2 linked regions of the Mytilus edulis genome follow. The protein of the gene in region 1 interacts with the protein of each later gene in a biochemical or structural test. Links are inferred from orthologs where the notes say so. Each region holds a gene or a part of one and is shown in the gene's direction. Other genes may lie near its edges. The genes, in order: disabled homolog 1-like and F-BAR domain only protein 2-like.

Region 1 (12,921 bases):
TTGAAATTCAGACGAAGTAAATAATTTTTTTTTAATGTTAATGGTGAAGCTAGTTCTATATAACCCTTGGTTCTCCGAAAGAGAATGCCTGTCATGGATTTTTCACATATTTAGAACGTAAAATTATTTTTTTTTTGACTGAAAGGTAAGTTTATCAGCCTGTACAACTATAAACACAGGACCTGTAAATTATACCATCTACATGCCTTCTTACATCACGTACTATGCTACAAAATGAGACCGAGGGAAACCATTATGATTCGACTAATGAAAGCTCAATGTTTTTTCTGTCCGAATGGTCTATGTTGCTTGTATATAATAACAAGAACATGTGAAAGTTTCCAAGAAGTCTGTCAAACAGAGCAGTGGTAGATACCAAAGTTGGACGGTCGAGAAGTCTGTCAAACAGAGCAGTGGTAAATACCAAAGTAAGACGGTCGAGAAGTCTGTCAAACAGAGCAGTGGTAGATACCAAAGTTGGACGGTCAAGAAGTCTGTCAACAGAGCAGTGGTAAATACCAAAGTTGGACGGTCGAGAAGTCTGTTAAACAGAGCAGTGGTTGATACCAAAGTTGGACGGTCGAGAAGTCTGTCAAACAGAGCAGTGGTAAATACCAAAGTTGGACGGTCGAGAAGTCTGTCAAACAGAGCAGTGGTAGATACCAAAGTTGGACGGTCGAGAAGTCTGTCAAACAGAGCAGTGGTAAATACCAAAGTTGGACGGTCGAGAAGTCTGTCAAACAGAGCAGTGGTAGATACCAAAGTTGGACGGTCGAGAAGTCTGTCAAACAGAGCAGTGGTAGATACCAAAGTTGGACGGTCGAGAAGTCTGTCAAACAGAGCTGTGGTAGATACCAAAGTTGGATTGTCGAGGAGTCTGTCAAACAGAGCAGTGGTAAATACCAAAGTTAGACGGTCGAGAAGTCTGTCAAACAGAGCAGTGGTAAATACCAAATTTGAACGGTCGAGAAGTCTGTCAAACAGAGCAGTGGTAGATACTAAAGTTGGAAGGTCGAGAAGTCTGTCAAACAGAGCAGTGGTAGATGCTAAAGTTGGACGGTCGAGAAGTCTGTCAAACAGAGCAGTGGTAGATACTAAAGTTGGACGGTCGAGAAGTCTGTCAAACAGAGCAGTGGTAAATACCAAAGTTGGACGGTCGAGAAGTCTGTCAAACAGATCAGTGGTAGATACCAAAGTTGGACGGTCGAGAAGTCTGCCACATTTTAACTCTTTCAAATGTATTGTTATAAATTATTTTTAAGGTCATTTTTTTAAAATGTTTACTAGTATACAAAAAAAAAATGACTAAAATACACGAGGACAGATAACCTTGCCCACGGAAAATTAAATTTTAGTGATCTTTACCAGTGTATAGGTTACTTTTAGGATACTTTCTTCTTCAAATAACAGAACAGTCAATATGACTGATATGTATCTGGTATAGGAAAAGAACAGCAATGAAAAACAATCCCTTTTATAATTTATAGTATAATTGTCTTAAAACACATACATAACCAGCCATTCATAATCTACAGTCCTTATAACCACTTATCTTTATTTGATTAAAATTAAAGTGGAAATTGATTGTTTCCTCATAATTATCATTTATATACCAAAATCTGATAGCAGACAATTCAAATACTCTAGAATGCAATTTCTATTTTAAAACTTTTTAAGAAATAACAAAATTCGGTATTGCCGGAAAGTTTTGTCTGAGTGTTATATCATTCAAGAAATACGTCGAACTGTTAGAACTTACTGAAGACCATAGACGAGGGTATTGATGGGGTCCACAAAATAGAGAAGGAGAATAATGAGCCAATCCTACAAAAAAATAAAGATAAAGTAGAGAATAATTGGGTGCGTAAATATAAAGAATATGGAACAATGGGACGAAAATATAAGAAATAGAGAAAATGACATAAAATATTAAAGAATACAAAAATGGTTGACCCAACCCAAACCTCATTTATGTAATGGTTTAATGAGAAATCTGATAATGGCACATATGATACGTCAAAGGGTGAAGGCATGACAAATATCTTGTACAAAACTGTTATATCAGCTGTAGCAATCGAACACTATCATCTTTATCTAACAAGAGGTTCTTGAGAGCATTTGTCGCTCAGCTAAGTATTCATCAAATGGCCACACTCCAACATTAAACACTAGAATACTCAATATACATTGAAGACCTGTTGGTGACCTTCTGCTGTTGTCTGTTCTATGGTCGGGTTGTTGTCTCTTTGAAACATTCCCCATTTCCATTCTCAATTTTATTCATGACTCAAATTCTCTTTTTTATTGATTAATTTTTTTGTTTATAATTTCTTTCTACTATAGTTTTGCCCAAAGTGCAAAATTGCGTACAAAATCCTCATCCGTACAGGTGAATAACTCCTATGATTAGTGGACTGACAAAGTAGAAATTAATATTTACTCTCAATTCAAAAATCTCATTTAAGGGCAATAACTCCTTTGCTGAGTTTACCGACAGTTTCATGGAGCTATATTTGACTTATTTGCAGACCCTAATTGTCTAACTGTTTATTTTTGATTTGTGAAGTTTCTCTTTTTTACTTTAGTTAGTGGCCCAAAATACATACAAACTAATAAAAAAACTGATTTCGGGACAATAACTCCAATAAGGAGTTGACAGATAATTTGGCCATGTTTAAAAAAATGTAGCTGAACTTTTTTCTTCTTTTATAAATATAGTTTAAAAAAAATTAGACAAAAACGCAACAATTGTCATTTTATGGCAACATTAAAGGGTTGACAATTTCTTTGTTGTCTTATTTGTAAATCTTGTCTTGCTGATCTCTTTTTCCATTTTAGAGTTTCTCTCTATTTATAATAGTTTACAAACAAATAAAAACAGGCAAAACCACAAAAATGGTAAACATCGTGGTTTAAGGGCAATAACTTACTCTTACTATTACAAACAATAAATTAACAAACAACACACTTAAAAGTAATACCGTTTAAATGAATACTTTCACCGAAGTATTTATAATCTGTCTATATGTGACAATCGCCATCCAATAAGCCTAAGTAATATTGACGTATGCACTTCCGAGCAGTTTTCCTGTTCGGCAACGTCATAAAAAACACAGGTACACACGACAAATCTGAATTCCAATAAGGGCTTGGAAGCGACAGTTATAATATAATATAAATGATGCAATGACCGAAGCACAATCACCACTCAGCAATAAGTGCATCAAGCTAAAACACCGATTTAAAAGACAACATCAAACCTTTTTACTAAAAAAAAATCTTGAAACGCAAATTTGTCTGCACCAGTTTCAACCAAATTCCAGTAGACATTACTGCACCTCCTCAATATAAATCTGTTCATTTAAGAAAAAAATCAGCATTAGTTTTTGTTGATTCATGACATCCATCATTTTCAGTGACAAACAAAGGACGATAATTCAAATGTCAAGCTTAAGTTTTATGTCGTTAAATTGATTAGAGTTATCTTTCTTTGTCTGATTAATATAATGTAGCTCTATCATGTCTATATCAAGTCCAAATAATTTTCAAGACGTCATAATTATTTGGACTAGTCTATATCTACATGAACCATGACTATTTCATTTCAATGTGAAAAGAAATGTTTTTCAGTAACAAATCTCAGTGTATTCTTTTGTGTCTATACATGTCGTGCTGACCATCAAGGGCATTGATTGCAATAATAGGTATTCTTATTTTTATTGTAATATAAAACAATAAATTGTCGTCTACTTGCAAACTGTATAAATATCAATAGATACTCCGTCGTCATTAATAATCATTAACCTTTGAGAATCTTGATCAAATGCCAGACCCCAAGGATGATGTATTCCTTCGTCTAAGACCATGGATTTAGTTCCTCTGTTTGACAACCGATGGATATTTCCAGATTCGTACCCAGCAACAAACACGTGACCTAAGCCATCTGTAGCGAGTCCAGATGGACCAACCAACGTTTCAGATCTGCAGATAAATTGTGACCGCTCTCGCGCAATGCATTGGACTTCATCGCCGTTGTTACTTGTCCAGTAAATGGAGCCGTTTATTCCTGCGCTTAAAAGCAACGGGTCATATTTGGTGTTTATTTTGAAAATGGAAATTCCCGCGCGATCGAGAATGCTTATTTTGCAGTGTCCACTCCGGACGATGATTTGATCGTCAATGCAGGAAATCGCAGTGCATTTCCCGCCAGGTCTTATAAATCGATCTGGTCTACATTCACTGTCGGTGATATCAAAAACTTGTATACCCCTCTCGCCTGCTGCGACAACGGCTGTATTCCTGTCAAACAGGGCAACATCATGTGGAAAGTACAGCAATGGAATTTTCTCGGTCATTGACCCGTACAGGTTACATACAAATATAAATCTATTCTGCGCATCGCATAAAAGCATATGCTTCCCTGAGATAAAACAGCCACGTGAAACTGTGATATTTTCTCCTAAAGATGAAGACGTCGGGAATTTTTTGTATAGTACTAGCTGTATAATCGAGGGAGTTTGAGGTACAAGTTTTATTAACGACAGTTCACTTTCTTTGAAATTACTAACGGATCGAGTTGATACAGGTCTAGGTACAATCTTGCTCTCTGTTGGACTTTCCCATTGTTTGCTGGTCGGCCTAGGTGAAGTTGTTTTTTCAGTGAAAGCAGATTTGACTCGATTGATAACTTTAATATCGACCCAACCCATTGCATTGTAAAGCGATGCCAATTGTTCTTCGTTTTGGGTGAAATCGATTTCCAATGGTTTATATCTATCTCTGAAGTTACTTATGATATCTTCAGTTCTTGGTTTAGTCTGTTCAAACTTCTTTACAATTGTGAACTTATAAGGTTCAGAACCATTCTTTCTCATTAATTCAATATCACTATCGTGAATAGACATCAGGTCTTTATTATGTTGAAGCTGGGAAATTTCATCATCTATTTGTTCAACACAGGAGTCGTATTTCACACTGAGACTGTTTAGTAGTTCTTCTTCTAGTTTTGTTAGATGATCTATGATTTCAGACTTTGTTTTCTTAATTGTTTCTTGAATTGTCTTGTTTTGTTGATCAAGGTTTGCTAGATTTTCTTTCCTGGTATTTATCAGTTGGTTTAAAGAGTCGGCAAGTTTTAATGCTTGCTTTTGTAGAACATCAAAATAGTCGTTACTACTACTGCGCGGTCTCTCTGGCATTAGCTGCTCAATTGCAGTAATATATTTACAGTCCTTGTGTGTTTGTAACAAACAGGTTTGGCAAATCAGCTGGTCATGTCTATTGCAGTAGAAGGTCACTCTTAAATCGGAATGAAGATCACATAAGAAAGACGTAGCCATTAGAAATGATTTAGTATTCTTAACATCCCGGAGACGGATAAGTTTATGCGAGGTTGTGAATCTAGACTTTTTATGGACCTTCCCACAATCCTCACATAATGCTTCGGCACAGTCACAACACCAGTGTTTGGCTTCAACATTATCATTGTCCCTTAGACAAGCAGCGCATATTTCGATATTGACTTTCTTTTCCTTTTCCATCTGAAAGTGTAAAAAGTCATGTTTTCTATTGCTATTATAAACAACGGTACGCCTAGTAAATAACAATGGGGCACCTGTGTTATCAAAGGATTGAACCCTTTCCTTATTCCCTCGAGATGACATTTAAAAATTATCATGCATGAAAGTATATCAGAAATATGCTGGACAGTTCCACTACCAACACCAAATATATATGTAAGATAAGTTTCGCAGAATCAAATAATATGCCTGTACGAAGTAAGGCTATCTGAGCTTTGTATTATTCGTTGTTATTTGTAAGTATGTTTTCTGCGAGGGGTTTATTGCTGTTTGTACTAGTAAGTCATAGTGTGGTGGAAGGTTGAATATCAATGTTAATACCTTCTGTCATATGTATAAAATGGTTAGTAGCAATTGTTATTAAACTGCCACCAAATGTATAGCAGATTGGACAAGAAAAATTCTATCATAAGTGTATAAGTTCAGATTTATTATTTCTTCCATAGATCAACACACAAACGGATTGCTGAGCAAAAAAAAAAAAAAAAAGAAATGAACTCATAACCTTAGAAAATGCTAGATTAGAATGAGTTGAAAGTATGAGCTGACGAAAATGAAAGATAAAGAGGTCCGAATGGATTTACGGATTAGATAATAATTGGCAAAACATTAATGACAGTGAGAAATAGAACAACAAAAAAAAGGAATAAAGAATGGAATTTTCAAATATTAAGAAAATTATAGCTACGGTAAAAAAATACAAAAATTACAAATAAAGAAAACAGGATAACTGCTATAAAATGTATGCATACAGAAATGACAGACTCCCTCTAAAAATATAAATAAAATCCAGACACTCTTACTAGGCATTATCGTTTGAATTGATTTATATGTGGCATTTTGTGGCCATTTCTAGCTGACTATGAGATATGGGCATTGTTCAATGTTGATCGTTACTGTGACCTATAGTTGTAAATTTCTGTGTCATCTGGTCTCTTGTGAAGAGTTGTCTCACTTGGGCGTACATATCACATCTTCTTTAAATATACACCAAGTATACGCATGCAGCACTCATAACCACCCGTCTATATTTGCCTACGAAAGGAAAGCACCTCAGTTCATGTAAATAAAAAAGATTTAAGCTTGAAATATGTTTGTATAACGCTGATATCTTACCTTTCCCTTTTATTTTCTTTGAACTGTTTTAAGCTTCTTTAGATAAATTGTCGATATATTCCTATTATAATATGGTAAAACTTATATATGCGACAAAAGCACTGATGCGGATCAGTAATTGTTTTGAAGAAGTAATAATTGAAATTAAAACTTGAAATATAATCATTTATCAAATTGACAATAGTATATATAAACTAAAATAGTAATAGTCTGATATGTTTTGATCAAAAGTTATGAGATCTAATATAGTTGCCCTTTACCAGATTTTTTCAATTTCACACACGAAAAGATTACAAAAATATCACATTAGAGATAAAAGACTTATTCATGTTTCAAATTTTATTGTTTTAGGGGCCTTTGACAGACAAGGGAGGGAAAGGGGGAAGGTTCCTTTTGTCCCATCTTACGGTATGTATATATATAGTTTACCAACTCGCTCTCTATGACCGTGAAGGTTGTAGTTCCTGACGTTTTAAATTAATGAAGGTAAATTATATCCGAAACTGATTTATAATTTATAAAGTCAGGCATTTCGTTACCGTTTTTTGTTTTTGGATCATATATAGAAATCTGATCAAAATGAAATGTAATATTTATGACGACACGAGGACGGAGGTTCAACAAGAAAGTACACAGGTGAATTAATGAAAAACTTGATAGAAATCGTGTTTCCATGATCCTAGTCAAAAAATGTAATTATATTAAAGTAAATATGCTTCTTTTAGTAATTTTATAGGGTTTTAAAAGCATTAACCATGCGCATATTTTTTAAATTTCGGTCAACGTTTTTACTTAAAAAAAATTACAAAAAGAAACATGAAATTCTCAATTGAAAATTTTGTTCAGTCAAAACGCATGAAATATTTGTCACTGGACGAAAAGAAAACTTGAGAATCATCAATCAATCCGGCAATCCGTAATTTCATTTCAGTCAGGTTATGTCCATCGTTTCAGTTTATGGCTTTAAGTGTTGCTGGCATGTAAAACATAAATACTCAATGACTTCTGTTCTTTCTTTAATATAGAATAAAATACCATGTTGATTTTAATACTCATTTTCGAATATTCAAGTCCTTACCGTGGTTGGTTTCTTTTTAGTTTGATTTTGGTTTGTTTTGATGCATGATCGCCCACGAGAAAATGGGTACATGAATAACAAAGGGTAAGTGAACATTTCTATAAACTGTCAGACAAAAGTTAATAGATTTTTGAATTTCTTAAAAATTATGTGTTCCTTCATCCTAATTTATTCACAGTTTTGTTCACAGAAATTCGCTTTATTTTTGGATCACCTGATCTCAACTTCAGAAACGGGGTCAAAGTTGTTGAACCATTTCATTTCACTTTGGAATCCTTAAAATTGGTAAAATACAAACCAGGAAATGTTCTACTAGTTTAGAAAAATATTCACATGTTTTCAACTTGTAATTTCCTAATAAGGAACGGTTAATTGCCGAGATAATAGTGTGTATCTGAAATGTACATGCTACACGCCCCCTTTTACGATATAATATTGATAAAGTGTACCACTTTGGAATATCACAAAGTAATTATTATGTTATGAAGAAGAAAAAGATAATATTCACATAGATTAAGATTTTATACACTGCTAAAGGAATCAGAATTGAATACTTTAATTTCTTGTGTATCAATCATGTAAATGTAAGTTTCTTGTACTGTACACATGTACAATGATGTAGATGCAGGTAATATTAATTATTACATTTGTCAAATCTCCTTGTATAAGAATAATTTTTCAATGTTGACACTTGACAATTGTAATCTTTTGTACTTATTGTTGATGGTTACACTACATTTACAACTTGTTTTTACTATACCATGTCATTTACATACAGTTGTACCACATCTTCAATTCCTATATCTACATATAAACAAAAATTCTCCAAACCTCTTCAGAAGAGCATCATTGAAAATGGGTTAACCACAATTTTTCAAAGTTAAAAAAAAATGAGATTTTTTTTTAAAAAGACTGACATGTAACATAAATATCGGTACATATGAATTACTGCAAAATTGATGAATTATTTTATTATTGTTTCAGCTATTGTAGAATCATCTTATTTTTATGCCCCATTTACGATAGTAGAGGGCATTATATTTTCTGGTCAGTGCATCTGTTCAGCTGTCCATTCGTCCATCTGTCCGTTCGTCCGTCTGTCTTTAGGTTAAAGTTTTTGGTCAAGGTAGTTTTTGATGAAGTTGAAGTTCAATCAATTTAAAACTCAATACACATGTTACCTATGAAATGATCTTTTTAATTTAAATGCCAAATTTGATTTTTTACCCCAATTTCACGGTCCACTGAAGATAGAAAATAATAATGAGAGTGGGGCATCAGTGTACTTTTGACACATACAATGTACTTGGTTTTTGTATACATGTATACAAATGTACCTCATATATCTCTCATTTAATTTATTTTGGATTCAGATGTACATGTACATAACATCTTTGTTGTGATGTTATGCTATTGTTTCAGAAAAAGGGAGAAGGTTTGGATCCATTAAAACGTTTAATCCCGCTGCAAATGTTTGCACCTGTCCTAAGTCAGGAATCTGATGTACAGTAGTTGTCGTTTGTTTATGTAATATATACGTGTTTCTCGTTTCTCGTTTTGTTTATATAGATTAGACCGTTGGTTTTCCCGTTTGAATGGTTTTACACTAGTAATTTTGGGGCCCTTTATAGCTTGTTGTTCGGTGTGAGCCAAGGCTCCGTGTTGAAGGCCGTACTTTAACCTATAATGGTTTACTTTTTAAATTGTTATTTGTATGGAGAGTTATCTCATTGGCACTCACACCACATCTTCCTATATCTATGTATTGTTAATGAGCATTCACTTTAATGAGGGTCACTCCAACCTACATATGTATATGCATTTACATTAGCTTATTGCCCTAAAAAATAATATTAACAACCCAACTCTAGTTTTAAGTGTCTCCCCTTAATGATTTTAAAAATTTTTGAACAAGCACAACATTTGCACAAGGCACATACTATTTTTTCTGCTGTTAAAACCAATTTAAAAGTAATATTACCTACATTTGTTACTTCCAAACTCAATGATATAAGTTTTAAACCAAGTTGGGTCAAACCAAAGAATTGGTATTTTCTGCTTCTCTGCAAAACACCCAGAGAAGATATACTTGTAATTCAATGGTCCAGATAGCTTCCCAAGTTTGATGGCGGTGTCATATGGTATTTTGAACCCCCTAAAAAGTGAACCCGGGGTCAAAATACCATGCGGTAAAATGACCCCGGGGTCATTATACCGCATGGTATTTTGACCCCGGGGTCATTTTTCACATATGGTATTTTGAACCCCCCTGCGGTATATTGAACCCCCCTGTTTTTGATAAATAGTATTGCAGATAATCTAATTTACAATTTATTGGCTATCATTTTTTTTAATTTGTGCTTTTAAGTAGGGGGTTCAATATACCGCAGGGGGGTCAAAATACCATGGCTAAGTAAAATTTTCAAAATATCTTTTCCAGTATATTAAATACATACAAACTACTCATTGGAGTATTATAACTATGTTGAGGAGTAAGAATAGCTTGAATTTTTGAAATTCAAGGTCTATAGTAGGGGGTTCAATATACCGCAGGGGGGTCAAAATACCATGGCTAAGTAAAATTTTCAAAATATCTTTTCCAGTATATTAAATACATACAAACTACTCATTGGAGTATTATAACTATGTTAAGGAGTTAGAATAGCTTGAACTTTTGAAATTTAAGGTCTATAGTAGGGGGTTCAATATACCGCAGGGGGGTCAAAATACCATGGCTAAGTAAAATTTTCAAAATATCTTTTCTAGTATATTAAATACATACAAACTTCTTATTGGAGTATTATAACTATGTTAAGGAGTTGAAATAGCTTGAACTTTTGAAATTCAAGGTCTATAGTAGGGGGTTCAATATACCGCAGGGGGGTCAAAATACCATGGCTAAGTAAAATTTTCAAAATATCTTTTCCAGTATATTAAATACATACAAACTACTTATTTGAGTATTATAACTATGTTGAGGAGTAAGAATAGCTTAAATTTTTGAAATGCAAGGTCTATAGTAGGGGGTTCAATATACCCCAGGGGGGTCAAAATACCATGGCTAAGTAAAATTTTCACAATATCTTTTCCAGCATATTAAATACATACAAACTACTTATTGGAGTCTTATAACTATGTTGAGGAGTTAAAATAGCTTGAATTTTTGAAATTCAAGGTCTATAGTATGGGGTTCAATATACCGCAGGGGGGTTAAAATACCATGGCTAAGTAAAATTTTCAAAATATCTTTTCTAGTATATTAAATACATACAAACTACTTATTGGAGTATTATAACTATGTTAAGGAGTTAGAATAGCTTGAACTTTTGAAATTTAAGGTCTATAGTAGGGGGTTCAATATACCGCAGGGGGGTCAAAATACCATGGCTAAGTAAAATTTTCAAAATATCTTTTCCAGTATATTAAATACATACAAACTACTTATTGGAGTCTTATTACTATGTTGAGGAGTTAGAATAGCTTGAATTTTTGAAATTCAAGGTCTATAGTAGGGGGTTCATTATACCGCAGGGGGGTCAAAATACCATGGCTAAATAAAATTTTCAAAATTTCTTTTCCAGTATATTAAATACATACAAACTACTTATTGGAGTATTATAACTATGTTAAGGAGTTAGAATAGCTTCAATTTTTGAAATTCAAGGTCTATAGTAGGGGGTTCAATATACCGCAGGGGGGTCAAAATACCATGGCTAAGTAAAATTTTCAAAATATCTTTTCCAGTATATTAAATACATACAAACTACTCATTGGAGTATTATAACTATGTTAAGGAGTTAGAATAGCTTGAACTTTTGAAATTTAAGGTCTATAGTAGGGGGTTCAATATACCGCAGGGGGGTCAAAATACCATGGCTAAGTAAAATTTTCAAAATATCTTTTCCAGTATATTAAACTATACTTATTGGAGTATTATAACTATGTTGAGGAGTTAGAATAGCTTGAATTTTTGGAAATTCAAGGTCTATAGTAGGGGGTTCATTATACCGCAGGGGGGTCAAAATACCATGGCTAAGTAAAATTTTCAAAATTTCTTTTCCAGTATATTAAATACATACAAACTACTTATTGGAGTATTATAACTATGTTAAGGAGTTAAAATAGCTTCAATTTTTGGAATTCAAGGTCTATAGTAGGGGGTTCAATATACCGCAGGGGGGTCAAAATACCATGGCTAAGTAAAATTTTCAAAATATCTTTTCCAGTATATTAAATACATACAAACTACTTATTGGAGTCTTATATTAAACTATGTTGAGGAGTTAGAATAGCTTGAATTTTTGAAATTCAAGGTCTACAGTAGGGGGTTCATTATACCGCAGGGGGGTCAAAATACCATGGCTAAGTAAAATTTTCAAAATTTCTTTTCCAGTATATTAAATACATACAAACTACTTATTGGAGTCTTATAACTATGTTGAGGAGTTAGAATAGCTTGAATTTTTGAAATTCAAGGTCTATAGTAGGGGGTTCATTATACCGCAGGGGGGTCAAAATACCATGGCTAAGTAAAATTTTCAAAATTTCTTTTCCAGTATATTAAATACATACAAACTACTTATTGGAGTATTATAACTATGTTATGGAGTTAGAATAGCTTCAATTTTTGGAATTCAAGGTCTATAGTAGGGGGTTCAATATACCGCAGGGGGGTCAAAATACCATGGCTAAGTAAAATTTTCAAAATTTCTTTTCCAGTATATTAAATACATACAAACTTCTTATTGGAGTATTATAACTATGTTAAGGAGTTAGAATAGCTTCAATTTTTGAAATTCAAGGTCTATAGTAGGGGGTTCAATATACCGCAGGGGGGTCAAAATACCATGGCTAAGTAAAATTTTCAAAATTTCTTTTCCAGTATATTAAATACATACAAACTACTTATTGGAGTATTATAACTATGTTAAGGAGTTAGAATAGCTTCAATTTTTGAAATTCAAGGTCTATAGTAGGGGGTTCAATATACCGCAGGGGGTCAAAATACCATGGCTAAGTAAAATTTTCAAAATATCTTTTCCAGTATATTAAATACATACAAACTACTCATTGGAGTATTATAACTATGTTAAGGAGTTAGAATAGCTTGAACTTTTGAAATTCAAGGTCTATAGTAAGGCGTTCAAT
Region 2 (12,560 bases), about 51 Mb from region 1:
TGTTGATGTGCATGCAGTATTGACTTAATGAAGGCAATAAAAAAACAAAAATTCTCTACCTTTTGAAAATTGAAGTGTCTTGTAGGATTGATATTACTTCATTTAATGACTAAAGGTCACTTGAATTAATTCATCACAAATCCTATCACTGAATAGCACTATGCAGTAAAATATTCATAAAATATTCAATGTATATAAACTTTGTCATCAGTTTTAAAATCTTAAATTATGTATTTTAATATATCCACTTGCAGTCTTCAGCTTTTTAAATTGAATTAAATCTTTTCCTTCAGTGGGAGTATGTAAAAGCGCTAACACATTATGATTATATGAAAACAAATAAAAAGTACAATGTGATTTTCTTATTTGAATATCAAACAGATGTTTAATCAAAACACAGACTATAGTACATTGATTATTTATCTTTATCATACATATAATACATAGTATTATCCATTTATACTTGTATTATAGGTCTCTGTTTATAAATATATATTGACCGTACAAAATTTTATTGAACTGTTAAATTTAAAATTATAGGTTTTTAAACAACAAAAAGAAAACGCAAATAACATTCTTTTATTTTCGTGGGTACCAATGCAATTAATGTGGATTGTGGGGAATAATATTTTTGTTGATATTTGATTTCAGGGTTATGCCTAAGTCTGCATACATGCCTAAGGAAAAGTTTTGTGGAACATTGAAATAATCCTGTACCCACGAAATCATTGAAAAATGGTATCCCACTAGATTATAATGTATCCACAGTGTAACATTCATATAATTTGGAATCAATTAAGATGACAATATTTGTTTAATAAATACAGGTACAAGAAATAAGATCTGGTCAAAATGTGCGAATGGCGCACGACCTTATGAAAGTTAGTAATAACATATGATTGACAATCTAATTATAGGCAGACACATGTTCACTCATAGCACATGGATCTGTTTTGGTCTATGTAATTTGTACTACTGCATACCTTCACTGGATAAAAGGCAAGGCACATTTCAATCACATTATAAAATTACAAGAATTCAATGAATTAAAGAATAATGATATTGTACAAAATATTTTGCATGCATAAAATTTTCAAAATTACGATTGTAAATGTTTTTTTTCTATATAAGAAGAAATCATGGGAAAAAGATCTTGCAATACTTGAAATGGTATGATATACATTGCATTATCATGTAATTAAAGGGGGGGCACCCTCCTATCAGGTTCCCCATAATCTATCAGTGTAGTCTGTACAGCTGAGATTAAGAATAACATGAATGTGGCCAAACAGATAATGATGATGCCAAGGTTGTTATCAGTCTGTTACAACTAATTGTAGGACAACTGCTTAGCTTGTGGTCTTACCTAGTAAACTCCTGAACAAACTTGACACTTTAAAATACATATGCATTAATCCATTAAATAATCAATCTCTCCTGAATTTATATTACACTTTAAAACGTTTTAATAATGCAATCGTTTACAGCTTTAAAATTTTTTATGAAAATAGAGAAAACAACACCTTCCACAAAAATAAACACTTCAAAGTTAAAGCTATCCGTCAAATTAATCATACATATGTGCTTAGCGTGACAAATATGCACTTTTTGCATTACATATATAAATGTAATAGTAAGTATTAAATTTAAAAACAATATTGATATTCCTTACCCGATTTAAATATTTTCAATTATAATCCATACAGGATCTGAAGGCTTTATGAATATATCAATAAGTCTATAGTAAATATTTGGCATGGTATCATCAGAAAACTTTATCAGCTGTATGCTATCATTGTGTCACATCACAAAGTTCAAAAACTTGGGTAACCATCCAACTATGTCACTTAACCTGTAATATAACATTATCTTGTTATTAATAAGATATCTTCCTTAAGATAATTAATACAATAAGTATGATAAAACAGATCAATATACAATGTACGGGATATGTATTTTTTTCTAGTTCAAGGCTGACATCTCATGTAAAGTAAAAGTATATGCAAAAAAAAAAATACACAGAAGGGTCAGATGACAGCAAAACAAATAGATGTATTGTCATTTGGCCATTGTCATTTGTAATTTTTCAATTATCATATATGTATTGGAAATGCATTATATAAATAGATTACTGATGGTTTTTTTTCTACAAGATAAGGATCAGATATACATTGTAATGTACCAAGTTTCAAAAACATAAATAATCTGCTATTTTCCTAGACATTGTCAATAAGTTAATGTTAGTGACGGTGTCAATGACATATTGTTCATGATGTCTTCACATTCTCTTTCTACATGTACATCTAAGAAAACACATCTGAAATAGCCTGATGGAAAATTAACTAGTAGTGCATGTAGATCAAAGGGATTTTCTTAAAATTAGTCATAATTGAAGTTATAAGTATCATAAACTTTACCTAAGTAGCTGTCCTTTTATTTTATAAAGTTTAGGTCAGAATATCTAAATTAGGATTAAAGTAGCTCAAACTGCATTGTTTCACAATTAATATCATTTATTTTATCTATCTTTCAAGACTACATGTAGTTTGAAAAATACAGTACTTATAAATCTTGTAAAATGCTGAATAAAAATAAACGCAAGTTCCCATTATTACAAGGTTATTTTGATTGTTTTAAAATATTAAGTACATGTAATTACTTTATTTTAATCTAAATACATGTAATGGAACACTTTCAAGACAATAATATGCATATTTTAAACACATAAGTACAGTCTTGGTCTAATGTTATAAGTATTTATAGTTAGGATTGTATAATTTAAGTCTAAAGATCATATTACATAAAAATAAATGCAAAGTTATGACACAACAATATTTTATTCTATATTAAAATGAAAAATAATTTCCGGACAGTCATGACAGTGTGGTAAACAGACAAAAAAAAATTCAATTGCTGTTTTAAAATTGTCATCCAAAATATTTATCTAAGAAAAGTCAGCGTCCTGTTCATATTAACGTTTTTCCTACTCATTGTAATATCCGCAATTATATGTATCAATCTATCTCTCTAAATATACACATCCTGTTCTTATTATAGTTTCTATTACTAGAGATGTCCCAACTTACAACATAACTTATTTCTTATTTAAGTGTCTAACCTACCTCACATAAAATGCTTTCACAATGTTAAGTTATTTCTTATTTTTGTTCCCGTAAATAAATGGGAGATAATCCAATTTGAATCATGGTCAATCACCTATTACCATGATTACAAATGCATTTTACATCAGATACTTATGAAAAGTGTAAATCAGGTTGCAAGTCCGGATGTCTCTACTAAGTACTCACTTCTTACTATGAATAAATACATGTATGTTGTTGATGCTGTTTATCCTTTTCACGTAACAGTATTCCTCATTAAAAAAACATTTAGTTTATATTCCACTCACTTTTTTACTCTATCTGGGTTTTTTTTCAGTATTTCAGGCTTTTGCTCACTAACATCATTTAGTGAAGAGGTAAGACTTTGCTGTTTACACAAATCAATAGTTCTGACAGTATGATGCATCTACTGTCTGTAGGAAGGGTCAAGAAAGGGTAATTTTTGCTTAATTTAATACTTGACCGATCTGGTCATGAATGACGAAGACAAATAGTCAAATATCAGACTTACTATATGTCATGAATAATTATTCTCTTCTCCAGTTTGAACATCTTAATTTCAGACATTAATATAACTGACATTTTTGGAGTATCTTGCAATATACTTTATACACACAGTCATATTTATTATTTTTTTACAAAGACGCTTTATTGATTTGAAATTTACAAGTGTCAATAAATGGTGTAGAAGTCCAGACCTTAAAATATGACTGCAGTGACTAGAGATTACAATCCATAACTTAAAAAAACAGGAAATACATTAGAGTCCACAACATCAGATATCAGATTAAATAAATAAGTGTATCAACTAATGTAATTAATATTATCAATTTTCATTAAATCAGGAAATGTGATATTTTTGTTGATATTTAAAAGTATTCAATACAGTCTGATGTACAAAAAAATCAATATTTTACTTGACTGGTTTTACAAAAAAAGTTGTTTAGTCCCAAATACATGTTTTTTTTTGTACATATTTTATTAATATTATTCAATGCATACATCATTCATGTGGTTGGGATCTCTTTGTTTAAAACAAAAAGTTGTTTACTATATATAATCAGTGGCGGATCCAGGGGGGGGTTCCGGGGGTGCGCACCCCCCCTTTATTTTTGCCGATCAATGCATTTGTATCGGGACATATGTTTTGCACCCCCCCTGCACCCCCCCTTTGCCCTGGGTTAGCACCCCCCTTTCGAAAATTCCTGCATCCGCCCCTGCTAATTACACTAAATTTTCTCATTAGTTATAAAAGATCACTATTAAAGTCAGAAATGGAAGTAATATACTGACTTTCTTAATGCACCACACAAACAAACCTTAAGTCTCACATTAAAAATAAAATCTATATAACAGAAATCAAAAGAAACATGCATTCTAGGCCAGTAGATGGGATTATAATATCACTATATAGAGTTTTTCTTATATGATGAAATTGTAATTTTTTTTTAAAGTGAAATGCATGTTATATTGCGTCTGAGGATAATACTACAATAGGACTTGGAGAAAAACCTAGTACAGATAATTAGGAATAGTTCAAATTCGATGCGAATGACATAAAGAGATTGATATGTAGTTTACTGTCAATGAATGCCCGTGTATCCCAAACTCTGTCTATTCGACAAAAGATCATTCGGTCAGACAGAAATTTTCAAAATTTTTAGTTGAATATATCATGTATATAGAAGAAAAACGTCAAATTTCTTTTTCGGTCAGGCAAACCCTAAAAACAGTTTGGTGCAGACTGGAATGCTGTTGTAATTTTCATGTTCTGACAACATGTATGTAGATTTTTATCCTGCAAGGTGCAATCACTAATTATATATTATCATTTCTGTGACTTCCTATTGATAGAAAGGACAATATATATTTAGTGATTGCACCTTGCAGGAAAAATTCTACATGTGCTGTCAGAACATGAAAATTACAGGAAAAGGAGTTACATATGCCATTATAATAATAAATGGTGTTTACATGTATGATGGATGGAATATGGAGTTGTTACAAGGGTTATAAATCAAAATTAATTTACAAGATTATTTAGAGTACTCTTCAGAGGCGGATTTAGGGGGGGCCCGGGTCTCCCTTTTTGGGAAAAAAATTGGTTGCTTATATAGGGAATCACTGAAGCGTAACTGGAGCAGGCCCCCTCTTAGGCAGTCAGTGGGCCCCCACTTAAGAAAATTCCTGGATCCGCCACTCTCTTCATATCTTCTGCAAACTATTGTTTACATACAGGAATAAATACTGTCAATAAATATAAAATAACATAGTTTTTCCATAATCTTGATAAATAACAGTTATTTGTAGAGGTGGTTGATGCAATTCTTCCAGTCAACTTAAATTTATGAAGGGAAAAAAATATACTATTAGTAAATCACTAAACTATAAGTATTTAGTAATTACAAGTATATTTTATAAATACAACCTAGCTGTCAATCTGACTTTGACCATTTTGAACTTATTTCAACTTTTTAACCAGAACTTTTTAAATTCTTGGCCTAAAATCTTTAATTTTGGTTCATTTTAATGACAAAAATATTGATCTTTCAAACAGTTGTTGTGACTCTGACTTTATTAACATGTCTGTGATTACCCAATACAGTATTAACTTTGTTCACCATATCTTGATGTTGAGAGATAGGGTTTGGATAAGACTGTTTGCGATGAACAGGATAGCTGAAATGGTGTGAATTGTTTAAGTGTATGCCATGTGTTTTCTATTGTATGTGAACTTTGTAATGTCTGTATGATACAACCACAGTAGAAGATCCAGAAGGGGGGTCCAGGGGCAAAAATACTCCCTTTTTGAAATAGCTGGATCCACCCCTGCACCCAGTGTGAATAAATCGGTTGTCTTCTACAAGATGGTGTTTTTTTTTATGAATATGAATGCTCAGAGTTCTACATTTACCACATAGTGTACAGTACAAGGGAGTTCAACCAACCATTTATGATTTTTTTTTTACCCTCAACTATCTGGCACCCCCACAGAAATTAACTGTAATACATGTAATACATTATTATGTTACTTTAGTTTAGTTTACTGTTTGGGTGCCATATGGGATTCTTGTCCTATATGAACAGTATTTTTTTTGGAAGAAGCAAGTTGATGATCTTTTAAGTGAATTCAGTCACTAGTCAACATATATTTATTTTTTAATCGTCTTGTACCTACATGACTTTGTGCAATTAAATATTGCCAATGAGAGGGTTTTAATGGGGGTACCTGTAAGAGGAATAAAGGTAAAAATTCTTGTCAAATGACGTTAATATTGTCAATAACAGAATAAGAGGGTCTTAATGGGTAGTTGGTGCACGACGATAAAATGTACACTTTCTTTCAGACAATTAAAAAGATGGACTGATTTAGGCAATGAAATTTTTCAAAAAACACCAAAATGATAATCCCTGATATAAAAGACGAACTTAACCATAAAATGTCAAGTGTTCCACTGCATATGATTCGGGGTAAGTTCTTTATCTAAACAAGGATGTGTATAAATCTAAATCTACTATACAATTTGCCATTTCAATTATATTAGGAATGCATTATGACGTCACGATTTCCATTGAAAAAGCATGCATAGTACGAAAACATGTGAGGTACGAAAACATATGATCTGACCATAGATTGTGGAGGGGCGTAAAGGGGTGGTATCTGCACAGAAGACTGCGAAATAAAATTGCCAGATAGCACGTTGAGATTTTTACCGATTTCACGAAACACGTCAAATAACGAACCTATTTCACGGTTGCACGTGAAATAAAAATGGCAAAACACGTTGCCCGAAAATTACCCTTTACCACCCTCATTGTGCCTTTACCACCCTCATTGTGCATCACTTCATGCATGTGTTCAAAAACTTTCAAAGACTGTAAATTAGTGAGTGTAAAATTGTCAAAGTTATCAAATTGTGGCCACATGGGGATACCAAAATCTATAACTTCAATTTTGTACGAAGCCTTATCTCTTTTTAAATAAATCCGAAATATTTCTGAGCTGTAAAGAAGAAATTGCCATGTGCATTTATACCTTTTTTGGTTTTTTTTGTACTTTCCCGGAAATTTTTAACTGACAGCTGACGACATATAAGCTTAGACCCGCAAGGTAAAAGATCGTTGGTTAAAGCGCTAATCTGAGTAAGAAAACGGATGTGCGCAAACGCAAAACAATCAAAATAATCGCCATTTTCATGGAACAAACCAGATGCAGTTTCAAAATTTAGGATGACAACTTTCTCAGATCATTTTTGGGTACTTAAATAAATAAGGTTTTCAGAGACGGACTATGAGATGACATTTACTTGAAAAAAGCTGCGAAAAAGCGACACCATTTCATGCAATTGACACTTGAAAAGGGGGTGTTGTCTAGATCATGTTTTATATTATCTTGTGTTCATATTTGCATTTTACCACTGTGCCTCAAATGCATATTCATATTCTGCATCCCAAGTACTATTTCATTCATTTGAATATTTGATATAATATCAGTATCATTTCTGTGACAAGGAAACAATTTATAACCTTGAAGCTCTTTAGACTTTACCTTTAGTTACTTCCCTTTCCATTTATTCACCAGGATACAATCAATAAACCTTATTACTATAAGTAAATCTGCAACACTTGATCTTATGATGTCAAACAATCACTTTTCCTTAGTGGCATCAGGCATTTGTTATGATGTAGAAATTCTACAGGAACTTTTGTGATGTCTAGAAATTGGCGATAAGGTGTAAAGACCAATGTTGAGTTTTTCAGGGTCATAGTTTACAAAGACTCAAGTTGATTGATTATGTAACTCTGGACTCTGAATCTACTATTCTACAAATTCTGTCCCTTTACTTCCAATGAAGATTCTTATCTTAAGACCAATCCATTGACTTATATATATATCAATATTAACGTCTTGCATGTCCATATGACCATGCAGTGATGCACTCAGAAAACTTCCACCTTGTCTGGAATTTAGCACAATTTTATATATTTTAATGTTGCTTCCTGACACTGATGTATTTTGACATCACTTATATTAATTGCTAGGCGTTGAATAAACTCAATTTATAAATGACAACAATCTGGATTTAGAGAAAAACATTCATGCCACACAGCACTTATCAAAATAATTGACAAATGGTTAGAAGAATTTGACAAAGGCAATTTTACTGCTGTTTTATTTCTAGATTTTAAAAAAGCATTTGACACTGTAAATCATAACATCTCATTATCGAAACTGAATTTATATAAATGTGATGATCACTCTGTTAAATGGTTTTCATCCTATCTCTCAAATAGATTGCAAAAGGTTAAAATTGGAACAACTGAATCAGGATACAATAATGTAACATTTGGGGTCCCACAAGGTTCCATATTAGGACCTTTATTATTCTTAATCTATATAAATGATCTCCCGTTTGAATTAGAACACACAGAGTCTGAATTATATGCCGATGACACAACTTTGCATTTATCGTCCAAATCTATTTCAAACTTAAACTCTTATTTAAATAAAGACTTTGAAAACCTAATTGAATGATGTGATAAAAACAATATGATAATAAATAACAAGAAGTCCAAATGTATGCTTATGGAATCTGAGAGAAAACTTGAGAATTGTAACGATGTCTTGTGTGTATTATCACAAAATCAAACTGCATTTGACAATGTAGAAGTGGAAAAACTTCTTGGTATCCATATTGATAAAAATCTATCATGGTCAATTCACATAGATAAAGTATGTGAAATATTTTCAAGCAGATTATACCTGCTAAAAAGATTAAAACGATACTTACCTCGCAAAGGTCTTATCCTTTTTTATAATAGTTATATATTACCGATAATTGATTATTGTTGCAGGATATGGGGTTTTACCGCAAATTGCAACATTGAGCTGATTCATAAACTACAAAAGCGCACAGCAAGATTAATTTTGAATAAGCCTTTTGATTATCCATCAATATCAATGTTTAAAGAACTTAATTGGATGACCATTTTTACTCGGATAAAATATTTTCAAGCCACTTTAATGTTTAAATGTATGAATGGACTAGCGCCAGATTATCTTACAATTAAATTTACTGCGTGCAGTGATTTATATAGTTATTCTCTTAGGTCAACAACATCTGGACATCTTCATATACCAAGGCCAAAGTCTGAATACTTCAAAAAGACTTTTCAATATTCTGGTCTAATCATTTGGAATAATTTCCCAAATGATTTAAAGGATTTAAGACATATACAGTGTTCTAGGATTTTTTTGGCACCTTGACTTACCACGGGTAAGATCAATAAAAAAATTACTTACCCACATCTAAAAGTTAAATCCGCCAACCAATGCGGACGGGGCAAAGCATACCCCCTGGTCCTTTTTTCAACATCATACAGTTTGTCTCTCTGCTTTTTGTCAAGTTTGGGCTTTTTTGGTGGGGGTGATGCTTGATTTATATCGTTTAGCCTTTTTGAAGTAAATCCAAACTTATGCAAACTCATGAAACTTTGAATATTGTAATTTACTGAACAAAGCTGGATTCGGATACGATTGAATTTTGTACAAAATTAAAAAAAAACGATTTCTTACTAAATTTGACAAATATGTTATAGTTATTACTATGTCATTTATTAAGAGCTATAATAAATGCAACTGTAAGTTTATTTTCCTCTGATGACAAGAAAAAAAATCGTTTATGTCCCGATTTAAGCACCAGTTATCAATCCGGATTTTTCGATTTTACCGACACCGTGACCGACTTTTAGAATGATAGGAGAAGAATGTGGTCTCTTTTGCGCTTGATTACACCTAGTAAACGAGTGCTTGAATAAAAGCGCCGATAGACATCGACAAAATCTTCGATCTTTTATCAAAGTTTTTTCTCGTGATTTAATAAAAATAAAAAGCAGATATGGGAAAATTGAAGAGGACCGGGAAATTTCAAGAGTTTTTCGGCTTCCCCGAACTTGAAAATTGACTTACCACCGGGTGACAAAGGCTAAAAAATGACTTACCCGTTGTCCTAATCCACTTACCCCGGGTAACGGGTAATGGGAATCCTAGAACACTGCATATAGAAAGCTTTAAGATGAAATGTGTTAATCTCTTTATCATAAAACAAAATGAGTAGTCAAACTTTTTTAGGACATTCTTGCCATGCTAGTTCTACAGTCTGTTTTCATGCTTGTGTATATATATATTTGTAATTGTGTACATATCTATTGATTATTGTTCTATATGAATTATTCATTTAAATGTGTGAAGGCCTTGTGTGAGATTAACAATTGTATGTTAAATGAGTTACCTTCGTTAAATAAAGAATTTATTATTATTATTATACCAAACGCATTTATCTACTTAACACAACAATTTATCATGCTTTGATTGACTGGAAATTGGTTCAACAATTGAAATGAAGATTTCTAAAATATGCATATTTTAGGAATTTCAAAATGTGACTGAAAATATAAATTTGCCTTAGCTGACAATGGCTGATGTGGAATCTTTGAAATGTTTTATAAAAATTGCTCAAAACAAATCCGCTTTTCCTGTACATGTGTTGTTCCTAGGATATCTGGAAATTTTCTTGTATTTGTTTTTCTTTGCCAAAATTGTATAAAGAAAATTTGCTTATAATAATTGAAATCGTCCCTTAGATCCTTAAACAATTAGTTACATTGAAACAGGTCAGAAAACACCTGATGTTTTAAAAAAAAACTACATGTACATGTACTTAAAAAAACAATGTTGACTAAATGGCAAAAAAAGATATAAATTATGAAATATATATGTGATTATAGTTGGGAAGGCAAGTATGTATCATGCTGTATCATTTTGGTCAAGTATAACCAATATTTTTTTTATTTTTAGGGAGAAAAGAACAATGGCTTCTATGTGCTGTATCATAATATGAAACATGGCCAGACGGCTTCTAAAGACTTCATAGACTTTCTGAGAGAAAGGTATTTTTAACTTCTAAAGACTTCATAGACTTTCTGAGAGAAAGGTATTTTTAACTTCTAAAGACTTCATAGACTTTCTGAGAGAAAGGTATTTTTAACTTCTAAAGACTTCATAGACTTTCTGAGAGAAAGGTATTTTTATACGACCGCAAAATTTGAAAAATTTTTCGTCGTATATTGCTATCACGTTGGCGTCGTCGTCGTCGTCGTCCGGCGTCCGAATACTTTTAGTTTTCGCACTCTAACTTTAGTAAAAGTGAATGGAAATCTATGAAATTTTAACACAAGGTTTATGACCACAAAAGGAAGGTTGGTATTGATTTTGGGAGTTTTGGTCCCAACATTTTAGGAATTAGGGGCCAAAAAGGGCCCAAATAAGCATTTTCTTGGTTTTCGCACTATAACTTTAGTTTAAGTTAATAGAAATCTATGAAATTTTGACACAAGGTTTATGACCACAAAAGGAAGGTTGGGATTGATTTTGGGGGTTTTGGTTCCAACAGTTTAGGAATTAAGGGCCAAAAAAAGGGCCCAAATAAGCATTATTCTTGGTTTTCGCACAATAACTTTAGTATAAGTAAATAGAAATCAATGAAATTTTAGCACAAGGTTTATGACCACAAAAGGAAGGTTGGGATTGATTTTTGGAGTTGAGGTCACAACAGTTTATGAATTAGGGGCCAAAAAGGGGCCCAAATAAGCATTATTTTTGGTTTTTGCACCATAACTTTAGTATAAGTAAATAGAAATCTATGAAATTTAAACACAAGGTTTATGACCATAAAAGGAAGGTTGGGTTTGATTTTGGGAGTTTTGGTCCTAACAGTTTATGAATAAGGGGCCCAAAGGGTCCAAAATTGAACTTTGTGTGATTTCATCAAAAATTAAAAAATTAAGTTTGATTTTAACAGAAATTGAATCCTTGGGGTTCTTTGATATGCTGAATTTAAAAATGTACTTAGATTTTTAATTATTGGCCTAGTTTTCAAGTTGGTCCAAATGGGGGTCCAAAATTAAACTTTGTTTGATTTCATCAAAAATTGAATAAATGGGTTCTTTGATATGCCAAATCTAACTGTGTATGTAGATTCTTAATTTTTGGTCCAGTTTTCAAATTGGTCTACATTAAGGTCCAAAGGGTCCAAAATTAAACTAAGTTTGATTTTAACAAAAATTAAATTCTTGGGCTTATTTGATATGCTTTATCTAAATATGTACTTTGATTTTTGATTATGGGCCCAGTTTTCAAGTTGGTCCAAATCAGGATTCCATATCAAGTATTGTGCAATAGCAAGAAATTTTCAATTGCACAGTATTGCACAATAGCAAGAAATATCTAATTGCACAATATTGTGCAATAGCAATTAATTTTCAATTGGAGTTATCTTTCTTTGTATAGAATAGTAGTTGATAATATATATTGGAAATTTGCCAGACATGACTATCAGGGATCTCCATGGCCTATTTAACGATGGCGCCCCGCCATCG

Evidence for each region.
Region 2: the proteins of disabled homolog 1-like (region 1) and F-BAR domain only protein 2-like form a complex in vitro, tested with the Homo sapiens proteins (2 studies listed by BioGRID). The link is inferred for Mytilus edulis from reciprocal best matches to the Homo sapiens genes DAB2 and FCHO2.

What each region holds. Positions count from the first base shown.
Region 1 is NC_092344.1:59,955,002-59,967,922, forward strand, and holds the start of disabled homolog 1-like, read left to right. Parts: upstream 1-7,774; 5' UTR 7,775-7,857; intron 7,858-8,024; exon of another isoform or gene 8,025-8,241; intron 8,242-12,921. Other genes in the region: uncharacterized protein, read right to left, coding at 3,747-5,540. UniProt on the Homo sapiens protein: Adapter protein that functions as a clathrin-associated sorting protein (CLASP) required for clathrin-mediated endocytosis of selected cargo proteins.
Region 2 is NC_092344.1:9,084,246-9,096,805, forward strand, and holds the start of F-BAR domain only protein 2-like, read left to right. Parts: upstream 1-7,250; 5' UTR 7,251-7,352; coding exon 7,353-7,379; intron 7,380-10,980; coding exon 10,981-11,072; intron 11,073-12,560. UniProt on the Homo sapiens protein: Functions in an early step of clathrin-mediated endocytosis. Has both a membrane binding/bending activity and the ability to recruit proteins essential to the formation of functional clathrin-coated pits.